2 linked regions of the Drosophila melanogaster genome follow. The protein of the gene in region 2 purifies or fractionates together with the protein of the main gene of each other region. This does not show direct contact. Each region holds a gene or a part of one and is shown on either strand. Other genes may lie near its edges.

Evidence for each region. Proteins that work in one complex are often made in the same cells at the same time.
Region 1: the proteins of Rabex-5 (region 2) and Rbpn-5 purify together in Drosophila melanogaster (affinity purification with western blotting, with the first as the bait; one study listed by BioGRID). This does not show direct contact.

What each region holds. Positions count from the first base shown.
Region 1 is NT_033778.4:21,086,505-21,092,813, forward strand, and holds Rbpn-5 (Rabaptin-5), read right to left. Parts: upstream 4,501-6,309; 5' UTR 4,423-4,500; coding exon 4,368-4,422; intron 4,308-4,367; coding exon 3,766-4,307; intron 3,711-3,765; coding exon 2,926-3,710; intron 2,862-2,925; coding exon 2,726-2,861; intron 2,668-2,725; coding exon 2,551-2,667; intron 2,488-2,550; coding exon 2,179-2,487; 3' UTR 1,882-2,178; downstream 1-1,881. Other genes in the region: Treh (trehalase), read left to right, coding at 1-221, 286-450.
Region 2 is NT_037436.4:1,291,974-1,299,732, reverse strand, and holds Rabex-5 (Rabaptin-5-associated exchange factor for Rab5), read right to left. Parts: upstream 3,821-7,759; 5' UTR 3,708-3,820; coding exon 3,554-3,707; intron 3,469-3,553; coding exon 3,265-3,468; intron 3,211-3,264; coding exon 2,898-3,210; intron 2,825-2,897; coding exon 1,405-2,824; 3' UTR 1,236-1,404; downstream 1-1,235. Other genes in the region: scf (supercoiling factor), read right to left, coding at 1-414, 533-1,007; CG32333 (uncharacterized protein), read right to left, coding at 5,448-5,640, 5,695-5,935, 6,004-6,215, 6,275-7,759.

The DNA of each region.
Region 1 (6,309 bases), on a different chromosome or scaffold from region 2:
ACAAGCTGGACAGCTTCCCTGGCGGAGTTCCCAACACGCTGAGCTACACCGGAGAACAGTGGGATGCCCCCAATGTGTGGGCACCGATGCAGTACATCCTGGTCGAGGGCCTAAACAACCTGAACACTCCCGAGGCCAAGAATATGTCACTGAAGTGGGCCACCAGGTGGGTGAAGACAAACTTTGCGGCGTTTAGCAAGGACAGGCACATGTACGAGAAGGTGAGTGTAGAGTTTACTTTGATCATATTAATCATAGTAATAATGATTGACTAAATCCCAATAGTACAACGCCGATGAGTTCGGAGTTGGAGGCGGCGGTGGCGAGTACGAGGTACAGACTGGATTCGGTTGGTCCAACGGTGTGATCATCGAGTGGCTGAGCAAGCACGGGCGCGACATTTCCATTGGATCCGGTTGTGGCTGCCTAGCAGGTGAAAAGCGGCAGTAGAAAGAATCTGTAGCCAGGCCAGAACGCAATCCATCAGACATCATTGTCAGCATCATCACAGGCTCGAAGCCAAAGCTTATTCAAAAAATTGTATTTAGATATTTGTATATTATTAAGGCTCCAATCAGAAGCGCTCATCAACTGCTCATCCTTAGGCTAAGAAAATGCTGTCTCTCTCGCTCTGCGCAATCTTTATACCTTTAAAAGCCGCTGTCTATAACCAATATCTGTACCGCGAACCATCGACATCTCGAGCCAAGCACCACGAACCACAGCACCACAGTTACAGCACCGCCAGGAATCAAGATCTGAAGTCCGCCATCCGTCGAGCATCTGTGTACTGTCTGTTGTCCATGTAGTAAACCACGTCCAGTCCACGTTTGCACACTCGTGTGACTTGTCCAAATTCAAGAAATAAGAACGCAAAGAACGCTATCTATCAAGTTGAGGATTCACGAGTAAGTGTCCAATTGGATCATTCTATGTGGTTGATTTGTGTTTGTGAATGTCAAGGCAATGTTTAGTGTAACCACCACCAAGCACCAGATCCAGAGCACACTACCCCATAACACCTAAAACAGACTGATCCATGGTATATGTACCCTTATAGACTAAATGGCGGCTATAGAAAGCTAACCACATATTCAATCCTGGCTTGACTTGCATGCATAAAAACGAGCTTCCAGGAAACTGCTCAAATAACCCTAACTAACCCTTCTAAAAGTGTACATATGAAATGAAATTTGGGGCAGCAGTTTCCTACGCCTTTGATTTACACACTGCCATCAATTCTTACTGATCTGTGTCTTCTACTCTTCCAATCCAGGTAATCGTATGATGGGCATCGTGGGCGTGGCAGCTGTCACTATAGTTGCTCTGATAGCAGGTCGTGTTCTATGGTGAGGTAAGCGAAATCGAATTGAAATCTAGCTATCTCCCGGCGACGGGCTAATTGGGTAATCATTTTTCTATCTCTTCCGCAGACAATGTGTGCCAAAACAAGACGTAATTGCTACTCAAGTAGTGTGATTCCCCCCTCCGTGTTTGTGCGTGTGTTGTGAAGTCTGTAGTTGCTAACGTTTTTCGTTGAGTGCGGAGATTGCAGTATTAGTTTATCATTATTTGGTAGTTGAAGTGAGAGTTGTATATACTGAATTTATATGGGCATGCCCGAAATTGTTATTACGTTTTAATATTTAGCAAATACCTATACCAATCCTAGCTCCTCGCAACCAAATGAAGACACAAATACAATTGTTAACAATAATTTACAAACTCTTTTCTTAGCATTTTTAAATAAACAAGAACACAAACTTTATGTTGCATGGCTCGCCTTTGAATTAAACAACTCAATTCATTACTTTGATATCAACTCTATTGCAGGCAAAGTTGGTTCAAGTAGAGATGTGCGGCGACAAACAACAAAAATTTAATTGTTTTTAATTTGTATATTTGCTTTGAGTTAAATTCAGTTACGAAAACTTACCTACGACGAAAGCTAACATAGACAACTCATCGCTTACGTTATGTATAGGGCCAAAATAATGGAACAACAAAATCGGAAATAGACATTGGCAAATGGAAATGGGCATTGGAAAGGTTTGACCTCGGATCGTAATCGTAGTATCGGAGCACAGAAATAGAGCAATAGAGTTCAAGGAGATACCAACTAATCGTAATCGTACTTCACACATAATACACAATCACTTGGGCTTGGAGCCCAAACGCCTAGTTGGACTGCTGCTGCTGCTGCTGGCCTTGCTGCTGCTGCGGCGGCTGTCCCTGACTGAAGTAGGGTGCGGTGTTTGGCGTGAGCAGCGTGTGACAGATATCACAGACTCGGGCCACTCGCTTCCGTGGTCCAGATGGCACCGTTTTCGTTAGACACTTATCGCAGTAGATGTGGCCGCAGTGCCGGCAATGGATCTTGCGCACCATGACCGTGAAGTAGGCATTGCACGTGGGACAGTTGTTCACATCGTCATCGTCCTGCCAACGCACCTCCGTGTCGGCATGCCGCAGCTCCTCCAGCGACATCTGTGGCACAACACAATGTAATTAATTAAGTGAATAAACCATATATTTTTATATCTCACTCACCTGAAGCGTTTGAGATAGTTTGACAAAGTCCTTTTGAACAGTCTCCATGGTGGAGAGTTCCTCCTGTAGTGTTTTTATCTTCGTCTTGTAGTCTGCATTTGTTTTGGCGTACTTTTCCTGTAATGTGATCTGGTTAGCGAAGAATCAAGTGTGACAACAAAATATGATAGCTTACATTGGCCTCTTGCAGCTCAATGATCTCCACGCGACACTCGGAGAGCTGCTTGTTCAGCTCAGCCTCTTTGCGCTCCAGTTGGGTTTTGGTAGTCTCGTACGCTTGTACCGTGACCAAGTGTTCCGTCACCCGATCCCTGAAAATTCATTTAAAACGTGGGCCAAAGTGAACACCACCATAGACAAGAGGTTGTAACTTACTGCAGTGACTTAATATCTAGTTGCATTTTGCGCTTGTAGGCCCGCCTTTCATTGTTGCTCTCCTCCAGCTGGGCCCGCAAGATCTGAATCTCATCTTCAGTGCTGGTGCACTTCTGTCGCTCGTATTCGCTGCTGACGCGTGCTTGGATTAGCTCGCTTTGCTGTCGCAGTATCAGCTCCTGGAGCTCGACGACCGTGTTGGGCAGATTGATATATTGGTTGTCGATCTCCTCGGACGTGGCCAGATAGCGACCGGACAGAAAGTCGTTGTCCGCCTGCAACGTCTCCAGTTGCTTGTTGACCCGCTCTCGGTCGTCGGAGACGCGCTGGATCTGCTTAATAACCTCGTCCTTGGTCTCGAGAAACTTTTGCTGCATGTCCAGCAGTCGCTGCTCGTTGGTTTTGGCCTGGTCACGCAGGCTTTGTACTTCGCTTTTGTGGGCCTCCCGCTTTTCTTGCCACTGGTCCTCCAGATCCTTGCGCAATGCCGCCTCCTTAACCAGTGTCTCCCGGGATTCCACCAGCTGCTTTTGCAGCAGATCCACCTGTTTCTGCTGTTTGTTTATATGGGCACCCAGCTCTTCGGTCTTCTTTTCTGCCAAGCTGCACGACTCGCAGGCGCTCTCGGCGACGTCCATGGACGTGGACTTGTGCAGGGCGGATTCATCGGACGCCGACTTGGCCTGCAGTTGCTCGTCCTGTTCGCGCAGCTTCACTTTTAGTGCCTTCATCTCCTCCTGAAGCTGCTCGACAATTGAGTGCATCATCTCCGCCTCCTCAGGAGCCTGCAATATAAGCTCAGTTAATTTGATAGTTGAAAGATTAGTCCCGAAAACATACGTATTGCTTGCCATTGCCCTTGCTCGATGCCCGGGTGTCCTCGTCCTGCTGAAAGCTGCTGTTCAGGGAGTCGGTGCCCAGTTTACGCACAGAGCCTAGTGTCTTCTTGACCTGATTGAGCACCTGCGGCGCTATACCGCCAGATGACTCGGCCTGCGGTTGTTGAGCCATCGTCTGCTGTTGAATCTGCTGGTACTTGCCCAGCTCCAGCCTGAGCCGTTCCACCTCGCCTTTGTAGTGCGCGGTCTCCTCGATAGTGTCCTGCACCAGCTGCTGCAGCGAGGAGATCTCCTCCTGCGCCTTGAGGTCCCTCAGCTGCAGCTCGTTCTGCGACTTAAGGTCCGCCACCATTAGGTGTGTCTTCAGCTCGTCCAGCTCCGCCTGCAGCTGCCGTCGCTCCTGCTGGCTCTGGCTGACCTCCGCCTCCTTCTGGATGTACAGCTCCCGCATCTTCGCCCGCTGCGTGTTGAACTCGTTCTGCATTTTGCGCATCTCGTTCTGCAGGTGACTGAGTTTGTGCTGGCTGGTCGCGTCATCCTCACCTGCCGTTGGAGTTATGGGTTAGTTATCGGCTGTTCAGGCTTCCTGTGGTGCTGCCTTACCATTGGGCAGGTCCGTGGGTTCCCTGGCCTCTGACCGGGTCTCGTTTTCTTCCATTTTCTATATTGTGTGATGGCCAATTTATTAGTTTATATGTACATATGTGAGCGCACCAATTAGAACATATACATTTGAGCGATTTTCAACACTGCTCTTGGTGTTACCATATTTGAATAATACCGATAGTTAATACTTTAGTATTGCTTGGCAGTGCCGTTAAAAAAGGTTTTCAAAATCTAACTTTATTGAGCTTGATAAACATCTTTTGGGATTAAGTTTTCTATAGAAGTATAGAAAGTTTAAAATATTTACTTACAGATACTTGGTAAAATAGTTTTAATAATTTCCCTTCGCCAATTTGCAAATGTATTCTTATTTTATGTCCTTTTAATGTGTCCTTTTTAAGAACCCGTTTTATTAAGTTAAAAGTCGGAATCCTTTAAAATCACTCCTTTGTCCTTTTATATCTTAGTCTAAAATCTAAATCTAGATATTCCTCGAATTTTTTGTTATCATCAGCCATCAGGAACTATAAATAGAAAAAGAAAACAAATGGGTAAGGAATATAAATAAACAATACCATATAATTTAAATTTGTATAATGTTTATAATTGCATCTTAATCGTTCTTAATTATTTAGGATTTTCTTAAGCATTTCCTAGAAAGTGTTTCAACATTTGTGTGTAAGCCAAATGACAACGGCAGAATATATTAGACACAATTCTATGAAAAGGTAAATGACTGCCGATCATGAATGACTAATACCGTCAGTTCTTTTAATTTTATGCAAATTATTAAGCGCCAGAAACGCGAGAAAACGCTAAGAGCTGATAAATTATGAGAGGAAAATGAATACTTCAATAATGCCTAGCTAATGAGAAAACATATTTAAATATAACAATATAGCAAACTATTTGAGATAACAAAACTACGCGTTAACCAGAACAAAACTCGATTTCAGAATTTCGGCATCGGCTGAGGAAGCCGAAAACTTGACTAATTATAAAATTATCATGGCTGTACACTACCAGAAATTGGAAAACATTTTAGTCGATAGGTAAAAAATAATTGTACGCTGTAACTAATGTTAACTTTAAACATTTGTTAACCACCTTATAGCCAATAATATTAATTAAATCATAGCATTAGGCATTACATAGACCATTTTTTTCGTCAGTGTACGCTGAGATCCGTTGGGTCTTCTAGGTCTTGGACTTGTTGGCAGGCTTGTGAGCTCATGACTTTCGATGTCGTCATAGTCGGCAGCCGGAGATTCGTGGCCGATACAAATACTACAGCATTATGCCCAGCGACAACAGCAGCGATGTTGGCCAAAATATTTGGCGTCTGTTCAGTTCGCATTGGATTCAGGAACGAGGCGGTCGGAAGCGGGAAAAAAAAGTACGCGAAGAAATAAATACGCGGCGCCTTGGAATCGCGACGGCATTTCTACTTATAAACTTAAAAATAATACAAATATATAAGTACAACCGCCGCGATATATGTATGTGAACGGAACTTGAATAATGACCATAAAGTGCCCAATGTTTTGAGTTCCTACGGATATCAATTAGAAAATTGCAAAGCGAATCCATATAGATTCCCGGATATACCAAAAAAAAAACCGACCATGTCGCAAACCCAGAGCATAACACCCATTCCCAGCACACCGCCGCCTTCACGGCGGGCAAATCGACCGCCCAGGATCAACATCCACAATCTGACCAGCGGATCGGCAATGAGCCAGGCATCGATGCCACCCAGTGCCCAGCCACCCTATACGGCCCAAACGAACTTCACGGGCAATGGAACACAGGGACCCTACTGGCCACCAATGGCCAATCCCTTCGGATACGGCAACTTTATGACCAAGGGCTACGAGGGCTTCCTCGATATCACAAAGTCGGGCTTGAGCTTCGGCGAGAAGATGACCTTCGGCATGTA
Region 2 (7,759 bases):
CATCGTGGTCCGCATCGGCCTCGAACAGCAGGTGCTTGGCCTCCGCCTCCGAATGATCGAAGTCATGGGGCGCAATCCACTGCTTCACTTCCTCCTCGTTCAAATAACCATCTTTGTCCAGGTCGCGATGTGTGGAGAACGCCTCCCTTTCGTTAGCCACCCACTCGGGCTCCTCGTCTTCCGCGCCCGTCGATCGGTACATGTCGCCAATGTACTCGTCCACCGAGATCTTGCCATCGTGGTCCTTGTCCAGATCGGTAATGGTCTCGCGCAGAACCACACCCTTCATGCTGGGATGGTCCTCGGGGTGCAGGAAGGCGGTAAACTCATCCTTGGTGAGATTGTCATCCAAGTCCTGGTCGGCCACCGACCAGCGGTACCGATCGCGTTTCAGCAGGCTCTTGTAGCTGACTCCTGTTCGAAAAAACAAATACAATTTGATTAGATTAATGTGATGTTTCCCGCCCATCAAAACAGTGATTTCCCTATCAAATTGATGCCTCTGCTTACAATGACGATTTGGGCTACATACCATTTTCCTCCTGTTCCTTCTCGTCGGGGCTCAGATCATCCATGAAGCCGTAGACAGTCTGCATGTAGGAATCCCAGCTTATGGTCTCATTGTTGTCCGGATTGTGCTGCTTCCACACGCGACCCACGTCTTCTTCGATGTAGCGCCTCTGGGTGTAGGCGATCCAGTTCTTTAGCTCCGCCAATGTGACTGACCCGTCCTTGTTCTCGTCGATTCGGTCCACAATGACGCCCAATCTCCGCCTGCTCTCCTCGGGTGTCAGGCTGTCGAACTTCTTGGACTCGTCCGGGCCCAAGAAGGCTTCGTGGTCAAACTGGGCATTGTGCTCGCCCCCGTCGAAGTGCCTGGGGTGCAGGGGGTCGTGCTCGAGCGGATTGTGGGGCAGCTCTTCCGGTATGCTGGAGGCACTTGCTCCACTTATCACCGCCGTCAGCGCAACAACAAGTAGCAGCATCTGAATTCGGGTTCTAGCCATTTCTCGTGAGCGCTCACGTCCGTTCGGTTCGGCAGGCAAACTGAGAATAAATCGTGTGTGATTGAGATATTTCGAAAACAACAATCTCTCTTGTTACTTTTCTAGTGCTGCCAGATTATTGGATAAGTGATGCCCAGTTGGCGGGACTTTTGAAAATCATGCAATTACCCCTGGGAAAGAAATTAAACTTAGTTAACCGTTTATTGTAAAAAACAATACAACTTGTGTATGTGTTAGATTGCATTTATTAAACGTCCTTTCTGTAAAGCTAGTTAAATATGGTACAAATAAATATGTGCAGAAATTTGAATTGAAGCGTTGGGCTAACTACAATATTTCACTTAAACTTATTTACATTCACACAGCTGCAGGATTCAGTGACCCAGTGAACAAACGTTTATTTGGGAGCATCCGCGCCGTCCTGTCCCAGAGAACTAAAGTCTCCCGTGTTGCACGAGATGCTGGGAATATCGAAGTTTGAGAAGCCCCGGTAGTTGGACACCTCGGGCTTCAGAGGGGATGGAAGCAGGACAGCTGTGCCGGGCACTTCGCTATCTATAAGGCTATCCGTTGTGCTATCCAGCAGACTGGTCTCCGGCAGAGGCGGCGGTGGCTTGGCAACTAGGCCCTTCTGCGCCAAGGGGTCGAATTCGTCGAGATTCAGCTTTGACTCGTCCGCAGTGCTGTTTTCCCCACTTTGATCCGACAAGTCGAAGTCGTAGTTGATATTGGTCAGGCCTCCTTGAAACTCGGAGCCCAGCATGAGTACGTCTGTGTTCGCATCGGGCACAGGCTCCTCCAAGAGCGAGACGGCATCAAACGCGGTGTAGTTAAAGATTGGAGAGGCGAAGAGGTGATCGGCTGGCTGAACGTTCTGCTGAAGTGGCGACAGACGGCCCATCGAACTCATGCTGGTATCCTTAAGGGACAATCCAGATTCTTTAGACGCCGCTGCGGGCTTTACCAACCCACCGGCTGCTGTCAGCGACTGGGAGGTCAATGAGCCGCCGTGCAGCATATTCGCTTGATAATGACCAGCCTCGCTTTCGTTGAGAAGGTGCGCCCTGGCTTGACCAATCAGAAAAGCGGGTGTTTTGATGGGCAGCAGGTTGAGTGGGGCCTTGGCAATCACGGTGTCTACTCGTTCCGTCACCTCTCTTTGGAAATCGATAAGCTCTTTTTCAAATGAAGTTATTCCAGAGCTTATCAGGGCGTTCCTTTTCTGCAGCATCTCCATTCGCTTCATGTTCTCGGATATCAGGTGAAGGCTCTCGCAGGCCAACAGGGCACTTTCCCAGGGCGTGCTGTAGGGCTGCTGTCCGGACATCAGAGCCTCGAACTCCTCGCTGCTGACGCCCAGACTCTCGCCATTCAGATTCTCTATGAAGGCGATGGCGGAGCACAGATTGGTAAAGTAGTAGCCACTCTCGCCGCTCATCAGCCGCGAAGCGTTTGTGAAGCGCGTAACGAAGTTGATGTTGCTGTGCAGTCGCACTGGATTTGCCTTAAGCACGACGAATATTAGGGCGGGTAGGAAGTCATCCGCACTGGCGGGTCCTCCAGTTGCCCGCTTCAGAAGCTCAAAGATGTGCCTACAGCAGCGCCAAGTGCACTGCAGCTTCTCCTGCGGCGAATAGTACGAATCTATGCCCACCAGCTCGGATATAGCATTGTAAACCAGATCCCTGGCCTCCGAGTTGACCTCGTCGATGCTGCAGTCCAGATGCTTGGCCGTAATCCAGCTCAGCTGGCGTATCCGCTTCTGCACCTTCACGTCACTGTCCTCATCGGTAGTGAAATAGGGACTGAAGAGAAATCTGCAAAAAAAAAAAAAGAGTTTCCCAGATAAAAATATGTACTCCTCTGATATCAACGTTCCGCTTGACTCACTTGTGGTTCTGCGTCATCACCACTTTCTCAAAGAAGTCAATGGCACTATCGCGATCCTCGTTGGTGGCTATCTCGAAGCTGGGATCGTTGTGCACAATGTCTGAGACTTTGGTGTAGGCGTTTTGAACCAAATCTGATAGTTCGTTGATGTTTTTGCCGCCATTTCCGTTCATATACTTGCGGATGTCGCTGTCCAAACGCTGGATTTCAAGCTTGAGTTTCCGCTTGCCATCGTCGGGAATGCGAAGTTGCCGCAATTGCAGTAGGAACTGGCCCTCCGTGGGATCCGGCACATGACCACGCTGTTGGGTAACTAAGGAATATCCAAGTATAAGCATTTAAAGGCAGTGTGGCTATGCAATATTACTTTTTTGGGCTCCCGCCTGCAGAGTTTTTTGCAGCACAGCGGTAAACTTTTTCTTTTGCAGGGTTCCCAAGTTGTCCTGCTCCTTGTCCGACGGCTTCCTGACCTGCTGCTCCACTTTTCCCTGGAGGTGCGCATGCTGTGGCGATCGGCGATCCAAGGTGGCGACCGAGGAAGAGGATCCAGGACCCGTCTCGCCACCCGTCTCTGTAAAGAACCACTTCATGACTCAACGCTCATCGGCTTTGGAGTTATATGCAAGCATTGTCTGGGGACCTACGCTTCAACTTACGCTTCAACTTCCGCTGCTTATCATTAAACTTTTCTCGGAAGCACATCGAGCACAATCCTTCGTTTTGGGGGGTTCCGTAAAACCCGCATCCTGAACGGCACTTGAGGTCCTGCTGGCCCAGCCGCAAAGACGGAGGTCGCGCCGCCGTTGACATCTCGGAGGTGTGGCTATAAAAATACAGCTCCCTTATCTGTGGGAGTCCCTTTGTTGCTTATTGTTTTCGTGACTGAATTGTGGAGATAAATAATTCTACTGCTGCCAGCGTTGCCAGATGGTCTTTTATCCAGTGGTGGGACATCGCTCAGAAAGTTAGAGATGAGCTGGTTCGCCGGCTTTAAGTAGCCGCCCATCGAATGGAACTAGTTCGCTTCGTACAAGGGGGATTTCCCTCTTTTGAATATAATTTTGATAAAAAAGAACGTAGTTCGCATATGACCTGTAAACCCACATACAATTAAAACACTATTCAGTTATGTTCCACTAAAATTGGATTTTAGCATATTTTATTCGTAAAGAAAATATTTAAACTGCAACTTAGGGAAATTTGCACAATTAGATCGAATACATGTAGTAAAATCGTGGTGTCCTAGGGAACATTTCAACACACATTCAATTCTTAGATGCACACAAACATTTTTAAAACCAGTTACACACGTATATCGACATAGCAAGTTGATAAAGTAGTAACATTTAGGACGGTTATACACGTAAAAAGAATGCATTTCTGGAAGGGTCGCTAATGGTAGTAGTTCACAACAGCAATTGGAAAAAGCTCAGAAAACACAGAGTTATGGCTTAGACTAGACTATAAATTTGCAAAGTTTTTTGTCCTAACTGCTCTACGCTACGTTACCGATCTTGTTCCCCAATGAAAAGTTTAAATCTGCAAACAAACCTTTGCATCGTCCAGCTCTCCTCGTAATTGACGATCCAATAATGCACTCAACTACTAACAACTCGACTAGTTCAACACTACCTCTACTTTATCTCTAGTTCTTCTAAATTTGTTCTCTCGTCTAGCAGTAAAAAGATTTGGAAAAAACCATTTTGTCTCTGTTTGTGTTTTGATTAGTCTTAAAAATTGCTAATACTATTTCGCTACTGTCATCAAAATGCAACCTTGCCTTGCCGTGCTCAACTACTATCGATAGTTTACGTATACTTAACATGATCGTTCTTGTTTTCGTTCACTTCCCATTTGCAATTCAACCGTTTCGAAAAAGTCTCGTGTATAGTTTTGAACTGGAATTTAACACTACTTATGATGTCTTTGGCTTTTGTTTTTGCTTTGTATGCGTTCAACTCTTACAGCTAACAATGTAATTATCTTTAACGCGTGTGTTTCAACATTATGCTGACTTTGGTTTTGGTTATAGGTTTTTGATTAAACATTCTTTGGTTTTTGATTTGTTCGTATCTGAGTGTATTCAATTCGCTACAAAAGAGTTGCATTTGTAAAAAATTCAAGTCTAACGATTTGCTTCAATAAATTCCTTGTTCCAATCGCTGATCAATTGGAATTATTTGGCTGATCTGATGACTGTGGTTCTTATTTTGTCTTCGAATTATGTATGAGTACCCTGTGTATTCAAAAGTTCGGCGTATAAAACAGAAAGTACAGCAAGTTAGAAATTGTAAGTTTCAAAAAGAATATGTCTTAACTTTCCATATATACAGTTATACAAACAAAACTCTTGACAAAACGAAGAAACAAAATGAAACATATGACTTTTAAACTATACAAACATGCTGTAATTAAATACTTATAAGAAAATAATCTTTTTTTTTTTTAATTTTATCAAATTGGTAGTTGAATCTTCCGACTGTGTTTAGTACTTGATTAATTCGCTAGGACTCTTCTAAAGACATTTCAGACATTTCTTCAGTGCCCTGGTTAACTGAAGTACTTCAGTCCTGCGATCAGCATAAACTTCTCAATAAACAACTCCGAGTCCAGGACAGCAATGTGCGCCGCTCGACCGATCAAAGTGTTGGCCGTGTGGGGCAGGGCATGGTGGACATCGAATCGGGCCAAAGTCAGTTCGGGCCTGGCCAAAATCGGAGCTATTATGTTGTGCACCATTTCCCTGAAAAGGAATCTTTATAGTCACGATTTTAACAAGGAGCCATTCCAATCGAACCTGTAAATGGTACCCAACGAGGAGCTATCCCTCATGGCAGCCTTGCAAAGCTCCAAGCGTGCCGAGTGCGCCGGAACATAGCGATCCTGGCTAGAACCACAGAGCAGGATGTTCTTGAAATGGTGCAGGGTGCTCCTCTGGCTCAGCCGGTACAGGAAACTGTTCCGCATATCGGTGGTATCTCGCATGCAGAGCTGCAGCAGTGATCCGGACTTCTTCCACTTCTGCATAAACCACATTCCTGCGAAAGGAGGCCCAACCCTGGGTTAATCACCACGCTTAAATGTATAAGAATGGGTATAGACTCACCCATGTTCACCAGCCCACTCGTATTATAGAGTGTTCCCAGGTGGGGTCCGGAGAGCGAGAGGAAGGTGTGCAGTCGCGGGAGCAAAGGCCTCATTTGTGGCCTAGCCAGAGCACTCCGCACAATTATCGTTCCCAGCGAATGGGCGACGAAGGAAATGCGAGCGGGATTAAGGGCGCAGCTATCGATATGGTAGAGTATCTCGGTAACCAGCCTAAATGATTTAAACAATGACATCAAATTTATATTGACTTCGAAGTGTATTTTGCTTACCGATCAGTCATGGTGTCAAAGTCCGAAAAGGTGTCTCCCTGGTTTCTCTCCGACATGAGGAACTCCAGATTGACACCGGGCAACCCCAGCTCCAGATAGGTGCGCACCAGTCGCAGATCCGCTGAGTTGCCATCCAGCCCGTGGACGCAGATGACCAGATGCATGCCGTTAGGCGAGAATGCGCGGTACTCGTCGCTGATGTAGAAGTATGGCAGTTCGGAGGCCAGCTGCACGTAGTCGGAATATATGCTGCCCTGGTACTTGATCTGCTTGCGGAACTCCTCGCGGTACTTCTCGAACTCCAGCAGGGAGATGCTGGGAGGAGCCTCCTGCACGGCGGAGGCCAATTGGCCCTTGCGCTTGTGCTTGGAGTTGGTATTGGAACCGTGGCCCTGCTTGTTCGTCCTCACCTGGCCATTGGAGTTCTCCTTGATCTCGTCCTGTTCGTGATCCAGACCATTCTCCAGAACATTACCATTAGCATTTATGGCGTGGGTCTTGCAATGGTGGTTAATCGAGTGATTAGGAAGGTTTTGGGGCCTCTTCAACTCCGCCAAGCTGTGGGACTTGAGCACAGGCTTGTTGCTGAAAATGGCCGGCGTGGAGATGGGACGCAGTGACTCGTAGATGTGATACACTGGATTATCAATGGCTCCAATGGGCTGGCGTTCCTTTAGGGGTGGTGGCAGATGGCAAGCGACAATCTTGGTCTTTCCCGTTGGGGGAAGTGCAGCAGCAGGAGGAGGAACTGGAGCTATGGGTGCTGCTGGAGCTGGCTCCGGTGGCGGATCACGGAACTCATCGGGTGGCGGCGGGGCCAGGACTAGCGCCAACTCCTGCTCTTGATCCTGGAACTGCTGGGGAGGTGGCAAGCACACTGCATCCAACGGTTGCATGTCCTTCAGACTTGTTATATCGAAATCCGACTTGGACTTCTCGCAGGCAGTCTTGTGGCGATTCCTCCTCGGAGGTGGTTCCATTTCCTCCACCTCCGTGGACTCCCCGTTGGGCAGATGTCGTAGTCTATCGAGCTGGTAACGGGAGCGCTCCCGTTTGATATTCACCGTCACCGAGGAGATCTTCTTGTGTACCTCAGTCTGTTGGCGGGCAGGAGTCCTGCTTTGACTGGAGGTCCCTGCCTGCCTTTTTCGGTTCTTGTGGGGGTGCTGCTGCTGAAGCTGCTGCTGTTCCAGGACCTTTTGTAGGCGTAACCTCAGCTGCTCGCCATTAAGGCGGGTCTCCATAGCCATGCCCATCCCCAAGTTGAGCTGGGTGTGCCTTTGCCGATTGGTCATACCCGTACTGGTGATGGTATCCGGACTGGAAATCGCCAGAGAGCTCCTCCGGCTGCTTACCCAGCCACTCTCCTCGCTCAGCGACGAAGTGGAGTTGCTCCTTTGCCGCCTCAACTGCGAGTCCGAATCGAATTCCGGTGGCGGAGCCAAGTTCGGCAGGGATTCACTGAAACCACTGGTGTTGGGATCA